Elephas maximus indicus: one gene and its partner. The protein of the gene in region 1 interacts with the protein of each later gene in a pairwise test. Links are inferred from orthologs where the notes say so. Each region holds a gene or a part of one and is shown in the gene's direction. Other genes may lie near its edges.

Evidence for each region.
Region 2: the proteins of GPSM3 (region 1) and GNAI3 interact in binary tests that used the Homo sapiens proteins (3 or more experiments, as listed by UniProt). The two-hybrid records come from large-scale screens. The link is inferred for Elephas maximus indicus from reciprocal best matches to the Homo sapiens genes GPSM3 and GNAI3.

What each region holds. Positions count from the first base shown.
Region 1 is NC_064819.1:93,681,278-93,688,566, reverse strand, and holds GPSM3 (G-protein-signaling modulator 3), read left to right. Parts: upstream 1-4,425; 5' UTR 4,426-4,804; coding exon 4,805-4,849; intron 4,850-5,067; coding exon 5,068-5,173; intron 5,174-5,386; coding exon 5,387-5,586; intron 5,587-5,793; coding exon 5,794-5,931; 3' UTR 5,932-6,756; downstream 6,757-7,289. Other genes in the region: NOTCH4 (neurogenic locus notch homolog protein 4), read left to right, coding at 88-383, 833-980, 1,494-1,591, 1,770-2,480. UniProt on the Homo sapiens protein: Interacts with subunit of G(i) alpha proteins and regulates the activation of G(i) alpha proteins.
Region 2 is NC_064821.1:172,029,318-172,036,935, reverse strand, and holds the start of GNAI3 (guanine nucleotide-binding protein G(i) subunit alpha-3), read left to right. Parts: upstream 1-4,451; 5' UTR 4,452-4,588; coding exon 4,589-4,706; intron 4,707-7,618. Other genes in the region: GPR61 (G-protein coupled receptor 61), read left to right, coding at 1-56. UniProt on the Homo sapiens protein: Heterotrimeric guanine nucleotide-binding proteins (G proteins) function as transducers downstream of G protein-coupled receptors (GPCRs) in numerous signaling cascades.

The sequences.
Region 1 (7,289 bases):
TGATTCTCCCATTCTGAGCCTCCATTTTCTCCCTTACTCCCAATTTTGATGACCTGCCCCCCCATTCCCCATGTTTCTCACCCTCAGACGGAGTGACACCCTTGATGTCAGCAGTTTGTTGTGGGGGAGTGGAGTCCAAGACCTTCCAAGGGGCATGGTTGGGAGGCCCTGAGCCATGGGAACCTCTGCTGGGTGGAGGGGCCTGTCCCCAGGCTCATGCCGTGGGCACTGGGGAGACGCCCCTGCACCTAGCTGCCCGATTCTGCCGGCCAACCGCTGCCCGTCGCCTACTTGAAGCTGGAGCCAATCCCAACCAACCAGACCGGGCAGGTCGCACCCCCCTTCACGCTGCTGTGGCTGCTGATGCTCGGGAGGTCTGCCAGGTCAGCAAACACTAGAGTCCCTGAAGGGAATGGGGGAGAGATTTCAAGTAAAGCTAGGAAAAGGTATCCCCTAGGGTTTGGCAAAGAGGTTGATGTGAGCTTGGGGACCTCAGAGAGAGAAAAACAAAGACAGATGGCTGAATATGGATTACCCAGTTGCGTCAAGCCAATTCCCACTCACGGCGACCCCATGAGTGTCAGAGTAGAACTGTGCTCCATAAGGCTTTCAATGGCTGATTTTTTTTTGGAAGTAAATAGCCAGGTCTTTCTTCCGAGGTGCCTCTGGGTGGACTCAAACTGTCAACCTTTAGGTTAGCAGCCGAGTACTTAACCTTATGTGCCACCCAGGGAACTCCTGGACATGGATTGGGAGCGGGATAAAAATGTGTGGGACCTAAGCTAGCCGTCCAGGCTACTGCAGGGGTCATTGGCCCTCTCTGGCCTCCCAGCTCCTGCTCCGGAGCAGACAGACTGCAGTGGATGCACGCACAGAAGACGGGACTACATCCCTGATGCTGGCCGCCAGGCTAGCGGTGGAAGACCTCGTTGAAGAACTGATTGCAGCCCGAGCAGACGTGGGGGCCAGAGACAAATGGGGTATGGATCTAGAGAGGATGATGCTGTGCTATAGAGAAGTTGACGTGAGGTGAGGTAAAAAAAGGAGCAGCAGAGGGACAGACTGGAGTCTAGGGCATTCCTTCCCATCCTGCTAAGTCTGCAGCGCGGTGGCAATGTGGAACTCGAGGGTCTCCCCCACTCCCCCACCATCTTCAACACCATCACATTACCACACACATGTATTACTCTAGCCCACAGGGATCTCGGATGAGGAAAGAGTCTGTGGGAAGGGAGAGGGCCGAAGTGTGGGAGGGGGTGGTCTCCCTGTCCCACCGACCCCAGAACAATGCCCCATTGTCCCGCCCGCGCGCCAGTGACGTCACCAGGGGCAACGCTTCCTGCCGGTCGGCGGTCGCCAGGGCAACGCTTCCCGCCTTTGAGGGACCCGGCTGGCCCGAGCAGCCCTACCCCCAAGGCCAGAATCCGTGGGAAACCGGAACCTAGGCGTCGGTCCCCAGCCCCGGGGTAACAACTTCCCACGTCGTCCCCCAGGAAAAACCGCGCTGCACTGGGCCGCCGCCGTGAACAACGCCCGGGCCGCCCGCTCACTTCTGCAGGCCGGAGCCGATAAAGACGCCCAGGACAGCAGGGTTAGACAGGGGCAGCGGGTTCTCTATAAAAAAGTGGGCGTGGGAGGTGGAAAGCGCGGGAACCGTACAAAACGTAAAGGGGCGGGGCCGGCGGCGAAATAGGTGGAGTCACGAAGGACCGGCCCTGTGAGCGCGGCCCTTCCTGACCTCTTCCTCCTGGCTGTTTCCTCCCACGCAGGAGCAGACGCCGCTGTTCCTGGCGGCACGAGAAGGGGCAGTGGAGGTAGCCCAGCTTCTGCTGGGGGTGGGGGCGGCCCGAGGGCTGCGGGACCAGGCCGGACTAGCGCCCGGGGATATCGCCCGCCAACGGAACCACTGGGATCTGCTGACGCTCCTGGAAGGGGCGTGGCCACCGGAGGCGCGTCACAAAGCCACGCCGGGCCGCGGAGGGGGCGCCTTCTCCTGCGCGCGGATCGCGTCTGGCAGCGTGCCCCCGCGTGGAGGCGGGGCTCTGCCGCGCACTCGGACGCAGTCTGCGGGAGCAGGCCCTCGACGGGGCGGGGCTTGTCTGAAAGCCAGGACTTTGTCCGTTGATTTGGCCGATCCCTGTGGCGGGGCCTATTCACACTGCCGGAGCCTAGCGGGAGGAGGAGCGGGAGGAGGAGCAGGAGGAGTCCCGGCCCCCCGCGGTCGTAGATTTTCCGCAGGCGCGCGCGGGCCTCGGCCCAGCCCTGCGATAATACGGGGAAGATCCGGGGTCGCGGCCCGGCGCGGGGGTGGGCCCTCGGCGGCTGACTGGCCCTGTGATTGGGTCGCTCTGAGAGCCCGCGGTCCCGCCCCCAGCACTACGATCCCGCCTCCTTGCCTTACTCCGTCCCCGGAACGGGTATCTCCTCAAGCTGCTTGGGGTCCCCAAGCCCTTAATTCCGGGGGCGAGGGCCAAAAATAGAAGGTTATATGGGTGGAGGGGAAACGTCTTAAAATGAGTACCCCTTAAATGACAGGCAATCTGGAAGTCCCTACAATTTTGACGTTCTGGAGCCCCAGAAGTGAGGTCATAAGTTTAGTTTCCCTCCCAAAATGAGTGTGTGCTCACAAGAATGGGTACCGTCTTCCACGTGGAGAAGCCGCAGCTCTGGAAAGAGGATTTAGGGTGCTGGGATGAGGCAGTCCTAGCCCTTCTCCCAGAAAAATAAGGGTGAGGGGCCACAGGAGGGCAGAAGGGAATGGGAGAAGTCCTCTAAACTGGAACCAAGAACTGCAGGCTGACGAATGTAAGAAGTTCTTTCCTATATATGGTTCCCAGAGGAAGCTTCTATCATGCCTTCTGTCACTGCCTACAAATGGCTGACGCCTACTGTGTGCCAGGCACTGTAGGTGCCAAAGGGGGGCCCAAGGGCAACTCCAGCTGATGACCTCTTGCATTTTCCCCATCTCCCCCCCAGAAAAGAAACTCCAGCACGGGGAAGCCATCACTGTCTCTATTTGAGACCCCTCAAGTCTGTCACCCCACAATAAAGCTGATTTGAAGTGTGACTTTTTTTTTTGGAGGGGTTGGGAGCAAAAGGAGAAAAAACATGAGAATGACTGGAATTTTTGTGCCCTATGTTCAACATTTGGATGAGGGCTTTGAGTATGGTTAAAGAGCAAGAATAGGTTTGGGATCCCAATCTAATTTACTCATATAGGGTCGCTGAAAGGGTCTAGTAGCCCAGGGAGAACCCACATACACACTAGGACCCGCCCACTCTTTGTCCTTCACCCAAAGGCATTTAGTGATGACCACATAGGAGATGCCTAAGGCCGCAAGTTAAATAAAGGGAGATGGAGAGGGCATCTTAAGGGAAACTTTATCCACCTTTCAGCAACGTGGTTACACCTCTAATAGTGATGGGCCTAAGACACAGAGGTGTAAAGTGTTTGAAAGTTAAAAATAGCTATCATTTACCAAGCATTCATTTTGTGCCAAGTGCTTTATCATATTTAATCCTCACATCAACTCTATGAGCTATGGGCTATTAAAACCCCCATTTTCTTCTTTTAGGAACAGGCACAGAGAGGTGTATTTGCCCAAGATTGCACAGCATTAAGTGGTAGAACCAGATCTTCATGCTCTAAGTCAGTCAGTGTAAGCCCCCAATGTGGCAGGTTGCCATTTAAAAAAAAAAAAATTGCCATCTAGTCAATTCCGACTCATAGCGACCCTATAGTACAGAGTAGAACCACTCCATAGGGTTCCCAAGGAGGATTCGAACTGCCAACCTTTTGGTTAGCAGCCAAGCTCTTAACCACTGTGCCACCAGGGCTCCATTTAGAGGCCTCAAATGTCTCTACCTGTCCTGCTGCTGCCTTGGTGACAGCCACCTTGACCAGCATTAATCAAGGAGAGAGCAGGGAGGTGGTCTGCTCCCTTTTCCATTTCTATATCCCTCGTTTATGACCGGAGGAAAGTTCCCCTGCCCCTTGTCTGCACTAAACTATGATTTGCCTGAGTGAACTTCATTCCATTTTCTCATTTGGTGCACGTCTTGTCCCCTGTAAACAACTTAAGGTCAGGGATAATTGTTCAACACATTTATTAGATACTCAGTAAATACACAATATTTACTGTATATTTAGCATGTGTTGGAGCCGGTGCTGGGGGTATAGGTGTATAAGCTTGAGGGCAGAACATTCCTGGGTCTGTGTACTCTGCTTCTCACTGGGACACCGCACCTTCTAGTCCCAATAGGTCTGCGGATGTGTGGGGAGGGCCAAATCCTATGTCAGGGTCTATCTTGGAGAAGAAACGGACCTGGGCGGGGGAGGGGCTGGGGGGTTCTGAGGAGTGAAACCACTTCCTGTGTAGCTAGTTCCTGTGTTGACAGTGTTGACAGAAAGAGCTGAAGGGGAGGCAGGGGTGGAGGGAACAAAGCCAGGGGCTATGGGGGTGCTGAGGCTGTGGGGATAAGAAAGGCAGGAGTCCTTCCCCACCGAGAGCCCCCCTCTAACTCCTGCGGCTGGAGGAGCTTTTCCTGATCTCTGTGTTCCCCTGGGGCTAGAGAGGTCGAGCAACTCTTTGGGTGGGAAAAGAGAACTGGAGGAAGTTGACAGGGATGGGCGGGGCCCGTGGGGGGGCTGACCAGGAACCCAGCTTCCTGCTCAGAACCCAGGCATCTAGCCCCCAGCTGGCCCCCACCCCTTCCAGCCCCCACTCCCCTCTGGAACCCAGGGTTCTGGCACTCTTCCCAAATCCCAGCCACCCCTCCCCCACCAGTTTCTCCCCTCCAGGGGATGGAGACCGAAAGAGCCCAGGACGGAGAAGAGGATGGTGAGCAGGTGAGCCGGGCACTAAGGGGGAAGACTGACACTTGACGAGAGGGAGGGGAGAGGACCCAGGCAGAGACCCAGCAACGGAGAACTCAGGAGACTTAAAAGGGCTTGGGCACACTGAGGCAGGAAGGGAGACACAGAGAGGAAGCAGGCCGCTGGCCTAGCCCCCTGCCCACTCCACCTTCTCTACCCACCCCTGCTTGACTGGAACGGACATCTCCCAGCATCAGGGCCCTTCCCAGGATGAACAGGGCTGGCCCCCTCTAAACACCACCACTCGGCCTTGGCGATCTGCTCCTCCGTCCCCTCCTCCAGGGAACCGCCACACAGGTACCTCTACCGCCCAGGGAGCTCCCAACCCTGGTTCCATCTTTCGTGATCCCATTACCAAGACCATTGTGGGCCCTCCCCTCCACCTCCTCCAGACTGTCCATCACACCCCCTCAGCTCTAACCCCAAGTCCCTAATCACCTCACCCTATTCCCCCCCCCACCCATCTCTCAAGTTCTCTGGTTCTCTGAGCCCTCCCCCTCCTCTCCCCAGCCCTAGGGCCCCGCTCGGCCTCCCTGCTCTCCCTGCAGACAGAGCGCCTTCTGGACCTAGTGGCTGAGGCCCAGTCCCGCCGTCTGGAGGAGCAGAGGGCCACCTTCTGTGTCCCCCAGATCCCCCCAAACCGAGCCCCAGCCCCACCCCGGCCTCTTGAGGACAGAGAACAGCTCTACAGCACCATCCTCAGTCACCAGGTGAGACACCTCCAGAAGGCAAGACCCAGACCTCTTGGCCCCCTAGTCCCTGTTCTGTTTCAGGCCCTACCTCTCCTTCTACCCAGACAACTGCCCCATTGCCTGCTCTTTAGTCTCCCCATCCTCATCATAGGTATCCTGTATCCCCACACTAACCCTGGCTCCCCTCAGAGCCTCACCAACACCCTTCTCCCTCCACTCCTCCAGTGCCAGCGGATGGAAGCCCAGCGGTCAGAGCCTCCCCTACCCCCAGGAGGACAGGAGCTCCTGGAGTTGCTGCTGAGGGTTCAGGGTGGGGGACGAATGGAAGAGCAAAGGTCCAGACCTCCCACACATACTTGCTGAGACCTGAACTGGCCCCTCTGCGCTCCTGGGGCTCAAAGCTGGGCGGCCCACTGCCTGCCCTCAACCCTGCTTGGCAGGGGCAGCAGAGACTGGAAGACCCAAAAGAAATCTCAATATTCATCCTTTTTTTTTTTCTAGACTAGCACCCTGGTGGCGTAGTGGTTAAGTGCTACGGCTGCTAACCAAAGGGTCGGCAGCTCAAATCCGCCAGGCGCTCCTTGGAAACACTATGGGGCAGTTCTACTCTGTCCTATAGGGTCACTATGAGTCGGAATCGACTCGATGGCACTGGGTTTTTTAGACCAGCACCCGTGGGAAATAGAGGGGGTGAAAATTCTCAAACCCTGTTAATAGTAAAAAGGCAAGGTAGGATGATCATTGAACTCCCTCCCCAAGTACTTGGGAGCTTGAGGCGGTGAGGGGATCCCAGCTACCAGGGGACACCCCACTCCTAGATCTCAGGGGGTGGTTGGGAATCTCCAGCAGGAGCTGTCGAGACATCCCTAGGAGTCAACCCACCAGGCAGGGTCTGAGAACTCAGGCCTCCACCTTGCAAGAAAAGGCAAACGTCCCAAGGTTGTGACTGGAGAGACAGCCCACCCTCCTTCCCAGTTAGAAGAAAGGAAGGGTGGGTGGGCAAGAAGAGAGATTAAGACTGTCTGCCGACGCCCACCAAGGCATTCCCCCGCCCCAGGGCTGAGGGGCCTAGAGGCTGGAAACAGACCACTAGCCCTGCCCACCCGCCGTCCCCGCCGCCGCCTCTGCTCGCTGCTCGGAGTCAGTCTGATGTTTTGGTTGTGTGAATAAATTTAATTCCCCTCTGGACTGAAGGCTAGTGTCTGGAGGGCTGGGGTTGGAGGGTGGGAAGGTAAGGCCGGAGGCCGCCTTTCTCCTTAGGCTGGCCAGAGGCCAGCTCCCCTCTCTGGCTGGTTAATTACTGGCTCATTAAGCAGCAGCTGGAGACCTCCCTAATTATCCCCCCCCCAGTCCCCCTCTCCCAGTTTTAATTAAATAGAACTAGAAGGGGAGTCATTAGGACAAGAAATATGAACTGAGCTGTCTGTGAACCCAGGCATTCCAGCGGCCGGAGAGTCCACATCACCGCGATCCCTGACGCGGAATCCAGGTGGCTGCCCCCCTCCAACCCCAACACGCCCCCTCCCGGACCACGGAAGTCCAGCCCGGGGGCCTTCCCGTATTGCCTCCAATGACCCAGTCTCCTCCCCTCGTCTCCTCATCCCTGTCCCCTCCTCCACTCGGTCTCAGTTCCTCTGTTTCTCTCTCTCTCCGCCCCCAGCTCCTCCCTGTTCCTCCTCCCTTCTCCCCTCCTCTTCCTCCGCGGCTCCCCTCCCCCCGCC
Region 2 (7,618 bases), on another chromosome or scaffold:
TCATCATGTCAGACAGCTACCTCCGTCCTGCTCCGTCACCCCGGCTGGAATCGTGATGGGCTGCTGGACACTCAGAGGGAGATGGGCCTGGGGGCCTGTTATGATTGCAAGGACCACCTTGTGGAATCACCTGTTCCCAGCTGGCTGGAGCTGGAGGTGGGGTCTCTGCACACAGCTTTTGCTTGGCATTTCCTGGGTCAGGAATACAGCTGACAGCATGGACATGTGGCAACAGCTTTGGACTTGGCTGTGATCCTTGACTACTGGGGGAGGGAACCTGGGTATGGCGAGCTGGTGTTGAGAGAAAAGGGTCACAAAGGTGAGATGAAGCCTCTTAACCAGTGAGTTTTCCATGCCACAGGAAGCAGGGAAACTCTCTAAGTTGGTGGATACAGGGCTGTAGGCTACGTTTGGAGTTATTCTGGGGCTACTTTGGATATTTTATTTTCCAGTATAATTGTCCAGGGCGGTAATTGCATCCAAGCAAGTTAAGAAAATGACCCGTGTCTTCTCATTGCCTTGCTAGGTTTAAAACCAAAAAAAAACCAAACCCATCGCCGTTGACTCGATTTCTACGCATAGCAACCCTGTAGGACAAAGTAGAACTGCCCTACAGGGTTTCCAAGGCTGTAATCTTTATGGAAGCAGACTGCCACATCTTTCTCCCATGGAGCAGCTGGTGGGTTCAAACCGCCAACCTTTTCGGTTAGCAGCTGAGTGCTTAACCACTGCACCACCAGGGCTATTTCTTCCTAGGTTTAGAAAGAACTAAATTACAGCCAAGTGTTTCCATTCAAGCTAATAGATCTCTTTCCAGTTTTATATCTGAAATTTCCTTAAAGGGAAAGGATGAGTTGGGTATGTTCCTTCCTACCACAATTATCCAAGTTTGGCCAGAAACAAGCGGAATAGCAGTTCAGGGTACGTGGAGTAGAAGACAGGAAAGCTGACTGCAGCTCTCTCTCCCACTCTCAGGAGCAGCCCCTCTTCTTTATTTCCCTGTCACTCTGTATATGGGAGATCAAGCTTAGGGCTTGATCTCAGCAGAGGCAAGAGAATTAGATAGGATGGATGTTTCTCCTTTTTAGGATGAAGATCTTGGAAAGATTGGGAGTGGAATGGCTGAGGGTGGGAGCTAGCATTTGAATTGCTAAGGTGGCTGAGTACAAAGAGGCCAGCTAATCACCCTGATCAATAATATCGATAATCTTTCCCTTCCAGGACTGGCCTCCCTGATCTCTCTCCTCATGGCAGCGACCCACCTCCAGCCCCCTGGATAATCGGGTACAAGAGACTAAGGTTGGGCATGGAAAGGGTGGGTTTTCCATGGGCCACCGAATGCCTCTCTATAACTCATTCATCACTCTCAAAATTAGCTTCAGTGACTTAAATCTCTTCTATCTGCAGCCCTGGATTGGAGAGAAGGCACAGGAGTTGGGCTCAACTGTTCACTGATTGCGATTGGAGGAACTATTACTTGGTATTAGTGGCCAGAGCATGAACCAATCAAATTTTCAAGGAAGAGGGAGTAATTGCAAACTAGCCAGGACACCCATCTGGGACTACCTGTTCACCCTGCTTCCCCCAATTTAATCAGGTGACACACAAGGATAAGGCAGGACCAGGGGATGGCATGGTCTGTATTTGAACAAAAGCCTGGCTCATTGAGCATCAAAGGGGAAAATGGATTGGTGGGAGTGGGATAGTTTCCCCTTTGAACAGCCAATAAATAATTTTACTATAAAAAAGTTATACTGATATCAATACTGACTCCTTCAGTTCAATTCAGTGCATACTAGTTGAACACCCACTATTCTCTGGGACCCACACAAACGATGTGCGGTCACTGCTTTCAAGCAGTTCACAGTCTAATTTGATCAGATACTTTGTATTTTTACAGAGCATTGATAGCTGGTAAAGTACCATAGCAAGTATTTGAGAGATAGATTGGAGAATATGTCTGTGGTTATAACTTCTGAGAGTTTGGTCCATTGCAGAAATATATCTACACAGAGGTTTCCTGTAGATTGTGGAAAGGGTGACAGTTATAAAAGAAAACTGTCTAGTGGAGAAAATGATTAATTAAATGAACTTGGGCAAACGTAGCTTTCCCTCCCTTCATCTAGAAATATTTCTAGGTTTCTGTCTTCCTACCACTTATTACTCCAATCTAGTGCCTATTATATTGATAAAATACCTTACAAAGGTAGTATATACAGTGAAGAGAGTCCTTTGTGATTGAAAAAACATGTTTGTACTGCTCTCTCTATTCCATTTTAAGATAAAATCATACTGAGGAATCTCATTCCTAGATGAGGGAGAAATTCTTCTTCAAAACACAAGCATTGCCAGCAGGTGGCAGTGTGAGTCCAGTTGAAAAAGGAAAGGGGTGCGTGTGGTGAAGGGGAAGAGGGGGAAATTAAACCTTGCCTGGCAGCCATTTTGGTAATTTATTTTGCCCTTTTTTTGGGTTTTACCCTCTAACCTTTGTTTACATACATCGAAGAAGAAAGTTTTAAGTGCAAGGATCTCTCTAATTCAGGCTGAAATTTCCTGACACTGTGATCTCATTGGTGTTTATTACAGAGTTTGACGATGAAAATTGTCAGTTATTTTTCCTTGTCTGAGTGGATAATGAAGGAAATAAAAAATTCTCTCCTGTCATGCTGAGAATGTTCCCAACAATTTCTGCCATGACCACGTTCCAGGCGTTTTCTAGTCACTAGTTTGGCTTGATAAAGTTTGATATGTTATCTTAGCTCTGAAAACTGTTCCTGGATAAAACCTGAACGCCCTAATTCACAAAAGGCAACAAGTTGGGGCAACCATTCTGTCATTTACTTTTTCACCCACATTCTGGTGGTGTTGGGGTGACTCCCAATCTTAGATGAAAACTTTAGACCCTCTGTTGTCAGTTCTCTCCAGGCAAGATCCTATAGGGTCATGGTAGAAAAGGGACAAATTTGGAGTCAGATAGATCTACTTACTCACTGTGTGAACTTGGGAAAGCTGCTTAATTTCTCTGAGCCTATTTCCTCATCTGTAAAAATGAGGATATTACCTACCTCACAGGGTTGTTGTGAGGATTAAAAGAGATGACAGTGGAAGCACCTAGCCATACCTGGCAAATAGGTACTCAATAAATACTGTTTTTTCTTCCCCTTTCCTCTTGCCCTTTTTCCCCAGAAACACTGATTATGGTTATCCTAACAGTCGTTTGAGAATGAGTGGGAGACCTTCAAACTCTGAAGATTGGCATTGATGCGTTTTTTGGGTTAGGTTAATATGGCTCTCATGATATTGCTGTAATTAATAAATCATCACCATATAGACCTTTCTATTGGGAACCTTAGCCTCTAAGGTTTAAATTCTATTAGGGTAATTAAATAATTTTTAGTCACAGGGAAAGATTTTTTGGGAGCCACGAAAGAGTTCCTCTCCCTAGAACGTATGGTGAGAGTGTTTGTGGGGCGTTTGGCAGTAAAGGGAAGTTAAGGCCGCCTTCAACTAGTACCTGGGGTTATCAAGGAAAGGAAGTATCAGCCTGGGGTTTTCACAGGGACTTACTAATTTTCAGGTGTCACTAGAGTTGAAAAACGAGCACACAGTAAATTTAGAAGATTCACAAGATGCACTGGTTTGTTTTGGGGAGTGGGACTGCAGCTGACTAATTTTGGTAAAAGTCCTAAGCCCCTAAGCTAGACGACCATAAGAGCTAAAATTGGCTTATGTTAGAGAGGGCAGCATGGAAATTTTATGAACTACACGCGTAACTTTCAGGTTACTGGGTCTCTGCTAGAGATTGCAAGTGGTTCTTTGACAACACAGGAGCTGGGTAACTCCCCAATCCACAGAACCTCGTACGTAATGGCACGCGGACCAGAATCCATTTTGAGAGCAGGAGGTAGCGGGCCAGAGGAGAGGGCAGAAGTGGCTCGCTATAGTGTTAGATCTCAGATGTGAGGCGCGGCTGGGGACCAGGCTGCAGTTTGTTCCCTTTCTATAAATCTAGCCGAGACGACCCTGGCAGACTGTCCTATACTTGGGCAGCGGCCAGGATCTCCAAGGCCAGCGATCAAAGGCTCACTGGCCTGCACCCAGCAAAGCCTTCCGTGCGGGCTGTAGGCTCTTAGCTGAGAATCTCTCCCACCATCCTGCCCCGTCCAAACCCGTCTGTGGGATCTCAGAAAGGCGCCTATGAAATACAGAAGCCAGACCCAGGATTTTCTACATTTATTTAAATAATATAGAAAAGCAAAAGGCAGACGAAAAGGGAAAAAGAGACTAAAGACGGACTAGAGGTGTGCACCCAGCCCACAAATCCATAACCTGAGCCTACCGCCCCCTCCCCAGTACTTCCGCTTTTGGTAGCACCTCCCCTCCCGGAGCTAGAGCGGTTTGAGAAGGGACGGCCGTAGGGCATCACCGGAAGTGTCGCAAACGCCGGATATCCGGTTCCTCTGGGCGCTCCGGGAGCTGAGACTGAAGAGGGACGCCGCCCAGCAGCAGGCGCCGTCTCAGTCGCCCGAGCCGCAGTCGCCGCGGTGTGTGAGTGAGCCCGGATACGGTCCCCTCTCCCGCCGCCGCCATGGGCTGCACGTTGAGCGCCGAAGACAAGGCGGCGGTGGAGCGGAGCAAGATGATCGACCGCAACTTGCGGGAGGACGGGGAGAAGGCGGCCAAGGAAGTAAAGCTGCTCCTGCTTGGTATGGGGCCGTGGGCGTGGCTGGCGGGGTGGTTGGGAGGCCCTGGGCACTTGGAAAATCTGAGGGGGGGTCAGGCCGGGCCGGTGTAAAGGACTCCGGAGAGATCTAGAGGGCTTGACGGGCTTGGGGCGGGTATTTAGGTTGGTGTCTGAGGCCCCGGAGGGCGTGATGAGGGGGTGGGGTTTGGGGTTGTAGGAATTAAGCTGTAGAGGGTGTGACTCCGGGCTGGAATTGGGTTTAGCGTAGAGAGCTTCGGAATGGGGCGGTACCGTAAAGAGACTGTTAGGAATATAGGAAATACTCATAAAACAGCTGATATTAGGGAAACTTTTGTATGGATTTGCAGTGTTTTGATAGCAAGGAGTTCGGGATACAGTGTAATGTGTAGGGTTTGTATAATGGTTTGCGAATTTGAAGCGTAGTGGTACTCTTAGAATAGAGCTGGGAAACTTAGAGTAATTAATATAAATAGAGAGGTTGGGGCAGAGCGATCACATAAGGACTCTGTCATTAGAGAGTGGGCATTTTGAACTGTTGGTAAGTGGAGGGAACTTGGATTATCCAGGAACATAAAGGTGGGTGACAGGTTATCGGGTATGAACGAAGAGAGCTTGGGTGCTGAGGCCGTCTTTATACTTGTCCTGCGTTTTCTATCATTTTTATTCTCTTAAATTTTACAGCCCCCTCCCCTGTTTTTATAAAGGGGGGATGTAGAGAGCTGGGGAAATTTAAAGAATGGCTTGGTTGAGATTTGTGGCAGTTGAGGTAGTGGACATAGATTATCTATTGGGAGTTGCTCAATAGTTGGCTAGGGGTGATGTGCAGTGTGAATGAAGGAGTTAGGAAAAGTTAAGAAATTGGACATATTTCTTCTAAAGACCGACAGATCTATGGTGAACTGTTTTATCTTTTTTGGTTTCTTCGAATAAAAAATATTGGCTTTAGGCATTACTTTTTATGATGCTACCTGACATTTTTAAAAAATAGCTTTTACGGACCATCAGGTGCATTTTGCTCAGCAGGTTTAGTTTTACAATTTTTGAGAGACTGGCTTCTAGAGGCTCAGTAAATCATATGAAGTACCTTGGCATTAGTTTACCAATAAATCGAGCCACATTTCTTCACTATTAATATTTTCTAGGGACCCATTAGAGAAGAATAAGAATAAAGTGGTTTCTTAAGCAATAGAACAGCTTAATTTTTAAAACAGTTGACTTTTGAGAAAAAGTAGCTGCTTTAGGGGAAGTGCCAAATTTTCATAGTGTAAAACAGACTCAGAGGACAGAATGCACCACCATAATCCAAGGCTTGTTTTAGTTTGAACTTTGGGACGTGCTGGCTGCACCTGCTAGTCTCTTCTTGTTAACATATTTGTTTGTCTGTTGATCGCAGAAGCCCTGGTAATAGCTTTTTTGGATATAAGGGGAAAACTGCATTGGATTTTGAGCTTCCAGTTTGACTGCCTAAACTTTCAGAAGGCACAAATTCAGATTTAGTTCAAGATTTCCACGGTCTATGTAATAGATAAGGAGCCCTGGTTCCGCAGTGGTTAAGTGCTTGGCTTCTAGCCGAAAAGTCAGTGGTTTGAACCCACCAGCCGTTCTGCGGGACAGCGATGTGGCAGTCTGCTTCTGTGAAGATTTACAGTCTTGGAAGCCCTACGGAGCAGTTCTACTCTGTCTTGAAGGGTCGTCGTGGGTTGGAATCGACCTGACGGCGGTAGGTATGTAACAGGTGTTGTTGTGGATGAGCACAGTCCCTGGCACATAGTAGGTGCTGCTTAAACATTTGCTGCTAATCAGCCTGAGCCAGCTAATGTTGGACATTGGTCCTGGGGCCTTTCAGATGTTTGGTACAAAGTATAACAGTGAAGGCATTTTCTATATTGATAGGTTGGTTATGAGGTTAAAGGTGCATTCTCGGCTTCTGTGAGTGTTTTGATTTACATTGGCCGTCGGAGATCCCTTGGGCCGTTAGCCTGTTTTAATATAGTTGTAAACTATGAGACTTTCTTCCAAATGGCAAGACTTAGCAGGCAGAACTCAGGCAAGTAGAACTCGTTCAGATGTTTAGAAAAATCTTTATTCGGGACTTTATAAATATTACATTTAATTAAAAACAAAAGCATGTGATGATTTAGGAAACTTGAAAAGCAGTAAATAAAAATCAAAGTATTAAAGCATTTGTTTTTAATTTTTATCACTTCATTTTTAAAAAAACTTTGTTGTTTTTGAAAATATACACAGTAAAACATATACCAGTTCAACCGTTTCTGCATGTACAATTTAGCGACATTGGTTACATCCTTCGAAATGTAATTCAGATATAATCATTTTTGAAATGATTGTGCAATCATTTTCACCTTCGTTTTAAGTTTTAAAGTTTATCTCAGGGCAGTAGTATCAGGGGTTCATCTAGCCCCCATGGCTCTAGAAAGTCTGGAGTTCCATGAGAATTTGAAATTCTTTTCCGTAGAATCTTTGATCGAAATGTTCAGCAGTGATAGCTGGGCATCATCCAGCTCTTCTGGTCTTTTGGCAGAGGAGGCATTAACTTCATTGTTTTTTACGTAAGTTTTTTTTTTTTTTTTGTATCCTTGAGCAAGTTAAATCAACAAATTCAAACAGGTTCCAGAGAGATGTTCTTGCTTGAGCCGGATGATGATGCACATGTGAAGTTAAAACTGCCTTCCTTGCTATTTATGTAAAATGTACTCATCGCTGTATGTGATTTTTTTTTTTTTTTGCTGTTGAGTACGTTCTTTGATGTACATGTGAGTCATTTTTACTTCATCACTCTGAAACTATCAAACTTAGTCTAACTTGAGATCTATCTCTATTACCTTTGTCTTCCCTGGGACATGATAGGTGCTCAGTAAGTAGTAATATATTTTTGTTGTCAAAGGGATGTCG